Xenopus tropicalis: one gene and its partner. Each later gene encodes a partner of the first gene's protein in a complex. Links are inferred from orthologs where the notes say so. Each region holds a gene or a part of one and is shown on either strand. Other genes may lie near its edges.

Region 1 (2,152 bases):
GCCCAATGCTAACAGTTCCTCTATCTGAAGCCGACCACCAATTTTTTCTCCAAAGGGAAAGCAAACCCACTCAGGCAAATTTTTGCAAACTTTACATTCAAAATCACAGGAGCACTTACCGGGCAACAGTGTGTGCTCACGTCACGCCAGAACCCAGACGGCAGCAGACTAAACGAAGTATTGTATTTGATACGGAGCAAACAAACACTGCTGATAAAAAATCTCTTATACTTTATTCAAATTTCTTTAAAATCATGGTGTGCACTTCCAGGCAAAAAAGACCACACGCCTGACGCGTTTCGTGGTATCCCACCACTTTCTCAAAAGCTGTATTTGAGAAAGTGGTGGGATACCACGAAACGCGTCAGGCGTGTGGTCTTTTTTGCCTGGAAGTGCACACCATGATTTTAAAGAATTTGAATAAAGTATAAGAGATTTTTTATCAGCAGTGTTTGTTTGCTCCGTATCAAATTTTTGCAAACCAAGACAGACAGCAAAGCTTTCAAAAATAAACATTTATGCAACATAAAACAAAATCATATAAAGTCTAATTAACATAAAAGAATAATTTCCTTGGGATATCCAATGTATGCTGCCTGCTAAAAGTGCGCTGAAATTCCATATCTACAGGCTGAACAATCTAAAATGGGTTTAAATAAGAACCTATCATTTCTTTGTGTGACCCTGAGAGGATAAAGTACATGATTATGCATGTAGGAGTAGAGAAAAGAAGGCAGAGATAAAAAGGGCTCTTTCCATGTCTGCATTCCTTACAGGGACAGGGTAAAAGCTTCTGCTTAGCAATATAGATCTTCTGTACAACAAGTCTGACACCGATTCAGGTTGCTGCAACATACTCATTTGTGCCTAAGGTCATTCAGCTGATTAAAACTGCTATAACTACGCCCTATGTACGCCGACTGGGGTAAGAAGAGGTTCAGAGCCCTAAAGCACGGTATAAAGAGTATTATGCACCAGATACATCCAGTAGAGCCAGGTCCCAGAGCTCTTCCAGCATAGAGTACAGACTCTGTCCCTGAGTTTGCCTGTATTCCTGGTAATGCTCCACAGGCTTCAACTCTTCTGCTCCCTCCACCGCCAACTGAGCCTCTACTGCTGTTCTGGTAACTTCCTTTACCAGCTCGCTCCTGGCCAGCTGAGGGTTTGATGCAGAGGGCAGCGCTTCCTGGGACGAATGTGGTCTGTTCCTGATTATTTCCAGCCGAATGCTATCTGGGTGGAATCGAGATGACTGGACATGTATCCGCACCTGTGCAATAATAAACAAAGCTAAAGTCACAAGCAGGGACTGACTGATATGAATGACGAATAAACCATGCAGAATATATATAATAGACCTGAGGCATTTAATAGGATACTCACAGTCACATGATCAAACAGACAATAGGAGAATGACTTTGCTTCCTGGGTAGTGACCACAATTCGATCTGGTAAACGCTGCAGGGACCCAGGCATCCAGTGGCACCGCCCATTGTCCTTGCATGCAAGTACAAGCCCATCTATGTTTTTCAGGTACGCTGCTCCTTTAATGCCATATCTATAAAGGTCAATAGAGTTGAGAATCACTGAACCATAGGGTGACGTGCAAATATTACATTGCTCAGTAAAGGGCATCTACCAAAAATAACTAAGGTCAAGCCCAGCATTCACGCACAAGTGAATCTATATATCCACCTCTAAAGCAGGGGAGGAAGAAGAGCAGATGGAGTCACACAACTGAGAGGAAGCCAACAATCTCAGTTTTCCTGTCTCCAGGGTAAGAGCTGCACAACACAACTATTCATTGACTGGCAGATGGAAAAAACAGTGTCTTGCTCCCCAGCCATACACCTTGTCCTGGGCATAAAGCTGGTGTTACAACTCATTACTGGGTGCCTAACAAATCGACACCTCCCAGTGAGTAAACTTTTTGTTGCCTTTTAAAAACAGCCATTATGGTATAAAGCCACCTTGTAAGACCTATTGGTTCTGATTATTACCGAGGTAGCAAAATTACATCCAAGAAAAGCTAATTTCCTTTATTATATTAACCCACTGTAATGTTTAGTAGGCAGGCGTAAGAAATTGCTTGTGGGCACACTAAACTCTAATAACAAATATGGGCAGAAATGCTGTACTTTAGGCTGGTACA
Region 2 (4,150 bases), on another chromosome or scaffold:
AATTACTATAACTTTAGGAAAGCATTGCAACTTGGTAGTTTGGAGTAGACAGGCAGTTCTACCTATTATAGATTCCCCAGAATCTGTTCTTTCTTAAAATGTATAATTTTCTGGGATAAACCTTCTGTTAGTGGCCTTGAAATCTGAAGTAAGCAGCATTCTGGAGCAGTGCTTTGGAAATTTGGTAGTGTACTGCTGGGAGTTTTTGACCTATTTGTATAGATTTCAGGCCATAAATCTCCATAAAACTATATATATATTTGGTATTGGCACGTTCAGGAGACATGGGACTTTCCAAATCAGTTGTATTTTCATGCATAAACTAATTTTTGTTTCTGGTGTATGTGTTTATATTGTGGAAAATATTTTTTTTTTCCATTTTTTTAGACAATTAGAAGCCTATATCTTGTTACAGAATTGGAATTACACAAAATTTCTACCATATTTTAAAATCTTAGGTTGTCCTGAAAAAAACAATATATTGTCTTCCAGGGTAAACTAAAAGTCCCCCCCAGGAAAGGCCCCTAAAGTGAAACAGTGCAAAATGTTCAAAAACTGTCTGGCAGTAGAAGTTCCGCTTAGTCCAAAACGGCTGGCAGTGAAAGGGTTAATGTTGTACAGTTATGGATAATATAAATACAAGTTGCTGATATAGTTATACCAAGCTCCCAAGTACTGAGTCCTGATGTAACGTGGAAGCCGTGAATTCATCAACACTTGCTAATAGTAGTTATTCTTTAGAACAAAGCGTGTGCAGAGAAATTTCATTTTAAATGACAACGTCTGCTCTGTTGCTTCCACAAAACTTCCTACCACACAAACTATAACGTAAACTCTATTCAAACATGTGGAAAAGTTAGCTTCAGTACTAACGCAACAAAAAAATCTGTTAACACTTTTTTACGGTCTAGTGACATTTCAACGAATTATCAAAACGTGTAGGGAGATTATCAATAATAGTATAAACCTAAACCTTAACAAAAGCGTCCGTGTCTGAAAAACCGGGAATGGGTTCGGAGTTGTCGCGGGACAGGTCTTGATCCTCCCGAATATCTACCGAATTCTCCATTTTCTGCATGCCTCCACCGGGCGCCGCCATCTTCTTTTGAATGACGCACAACTACGTCAGTTAAAAACGCGACCCGCGATGATGGCCTCACGCTCTAGGATATAAAGTGACATCTAGTTCCTGTTCGAAGAAGCAAGGTCAGCCATGATGGTTGATGGAATAGGAAAAATTAGCTATTTCGTGCTGCGATTAAATTTGTATGTATATTTGCATCTATAATGTAGTAACGCAAGTAGTCCGTAAATTATACAGTTGTCAAAATGCCAGTGCGTTAGGAAAGTGCTTTGTTTTTCTTTTATTAGTACAATAAATATAAATATATTATTTTCTTACAAGCCACAAGCAATGTTACAGTTAGGGTTGCCACCTTCTTTGGAAACCTGTACCAGCCTTAATCTTTAATCTTTTTTAACTACTGATAACATTGTCAAAAAGCATCATTTTTGCTGGCCTTATGCATAGCTGCCCCCGGGTAATGACAAGTGGCGGTGCAGTGATACACAGACTAGTATGTATGTACGCAGCGCTGTACAGTAGAATACATTTATACAAACAGGGGGTTAAGATAATAGATAAATACAAAGTATAACAATAAATACAAGATACAGTAGCAATAAGAGTAAAGCTGGCCATACACGTGGCGATCTGACGATGGTCGCACGAAACATCGTCAGATCCGCCACACACCATTCAGGGCTGAATCGGCAGGTAAGGAGGTAGAAACAATAGGATTTCTACCTCCTTCTGCCGATTCAGCGCTGAAGGGAGATTTTGGTCAGGTGCCTAATATGGCGCCCGATCAAAATTTTTAAACTGGTCCGATCGGCGAGTCGGCCGATATCAGCAGCTTCCTGCGATATCGGTCGACTCGCCGACATACCATACACACACCGAATATCGTACGAAACGAGGTTTTGTATGATATTATCGGTGCGTGTATGGCCACCTTAAGAGTCAAAGGCACAAGAGGATGGAGGTCCCTGCCCCATAGAGTTTACTTACAATCTAAATGTACCTACCTGGCACCCCCTCATTGTAGCACCCATGCAAGTGCCCCTTATGCCTACCCCTAGTTCCAGCCCTGTTGACAGCTCTACTTATGTGACATGACACTGATTAGAAAGAAATGGATTGCTAGGATGGGTCGGAAGCTGGTGGGATTGAGTCGAGTGCAGGTTAACTTCTTGCCTACCCTCACCCTCATATCACCCTCATAGTGGCCAGGGAACAGTGAGATAGTGGAAGATAGATTAGATGAGGTTCTAGACAAAGTAGAGGAAAATGGAGAGGGAGAGGTGGCAGGGAGGAAAAGAAGTTACATATACAAAATAGAAAAAAAGGTACACTCTAATTTCTTCTAGGTTACATGCGCAAAAAATCCTTTTGTGTGCACATTTTTTAGTTGTGTGCACATTTTTTAGTTGTGTGCACATTTTTAAAAACCATGTGCTCAGATGTGAACAAGTGCAAATTTTTTTCTCTTGACAAAGCTGCAATGAGCAGCAAAACAGTAAATCTGCAACACACTGTATTCTATCAATATTGCCACAGCAAGATATTCATTTGAAGCCTATGGAAATAAGATATTCCTACTATAGGATTTATAAATATTGCACTTTTTACAAGAAAGTTATCTTTATTGGAAATAAAAGGATGGCCCTGCTTACCTTTCAACATTGATATAACTATGTATAGCAGTGCTGTCCAACTTCTGCGGTGCAGAGGGCCGGAATTTCTCTAGAACATATGGTGAAGGGTCGCTAATGGAAGCCAGTTTTGACCACTCCCCTTTTAACCACACCCACTTCAAACCACACCCATTTTATCACAATGGTGGTAGTGCAGCAAAAACCCAAAAGCTTGGTCCTCACTGCGGGGATATCAACCATCATTGTGAAAGAATTATATTATGTAATAATAAGACATATGCCTTAAAGGACATGGAAAGGCAAAGTCACTTGGGGGTGCCAAAGAGACTTAAATCACCTACCTTTTACCCCAGGCTGGTGCCCCTGTTCGGAGAGAACAGCACCAGCCCGGGGTAGCTGCAGTGCTTCCTCCTTCTTGCTTCCGTGCACGCGCATGCGCAGTAGAGTGAAAAAGCCTAACTTTAACAGAGAAGTCGGCTTTTCACTCTACTGCGCATGCACCTATCGTATAGTCGCAGCGAAACGAAGCAGGAAGGAAGTGCATCGCTACAGGTACCCCGGGCTGGTGCTGTTTTCTCCTAACAGGAGCACCAGCCCGGGGTACAAGGTAAGCGATTAAAGTCACTTGGGGGTGCCTAACATTTTGGCACCCCCAAGTGACTTAGCCTTTCCTTATCCTTTAAATCCATGTGCCTCCACCTCCCCTGTGGATAGCACAGCAACTCCTGGCACATAATTACACACCTTAGGGACCATTTAATGGCTTTTTCCAACTGCTGACAAACTCCCAGAACAAACCCCTGCCATGTTCACCTCCCACAGGGCAGGCAGAGTATGGCACACATAAGCTGCACTCTGCCTGCCCTATGCTGCCTGTGTGTGCCATACCGTGGGCCGCCAGTTGGACAGCACTGATGTATAGCATACCTCCCAACATTTTGAAAATGGATAGAGGTACAAAAAGAAATGCTGTGCACAGCGCAGCAATTTTTTGACCACACCCCCTAAATGCCACTCCAATTTGACTACATTTGACAGGTTATTTTAAGTTTGAACACATTTCTGGGGGTTTTGGGGACTTGTTTTAATAACACATAAAACAAGACCCCAAAACCCCCAGAAATGTGTTAAAAACGCTGAAAATGCCCTTTAAAGTAGAAAGAAAGGTAAAAACTAAGTAAGCTTTATCAGAAAGGTCTATGTAAATACAGCCATAAGCACTCACAGAAATGCTGCACTGACTTCTCTGAAAAAAGATTAGTTGTGTCTGTAATTCCTGTGCCAGAGACATGCAGCTTTCTGTTTTCTGCTCTTTCCTGCTCCCCCCCTTAGGAACTGAGCATGTTCACTTGGTATGCATGTCTGTGCAGGAGTGAGGCATTATGAGAACTTTCTTTATGCAGCTCAGCATTTTTTCTTCCTGTTTGGCTTC

What was found.
Region 2: dis3l (region 1) and exosc10 share a complex: the UniProt entries of both Homo sapiens proteins name them as parts of the RNA exosome complex. The link is inferred for Xenopus tropicalis from reciprocal best matches to the Homo sapiens genes DIS3L and EXOSC10.

Annotation. Positions count from the first base shown.
Region 1 is NC_030679.2:117,130,569-117,132,720, reverse strand, and holds the end of dis3l (DIS3-like exonuclease 1), read right to left. Parts: intron 1,559-2,152; coding exon 1,384-1,558; intron 1,271-1,383; coding exon 968-1,270; 3' UTR 501-967; downstream 1-500. UniProt on the Homo sapiens protein: Catalytic component of the RNA exosome complex which has 3'->5' exoribonuclease activity and participates in a multitude of cellular RNA processing and degradation events.
Region 2 is NC_030683.2:64,900,376-64,904,525, forward strand, and holds the start of exosc10 (exosome component 10), read right to left. Parts: upstream 2,801-4,150; 5' UTR 2,737-2,800; intron 1,164-2,736; 5' UTR 1,100-1,163; coding exon 974-1,099; intron 1-973. UniProt on the Homo sapiens protein: Catalytic component of the RNA exosome complex which has 3'->5' exoribonuclease activity and participates in a multitude of cellular RNA processing and degradation events.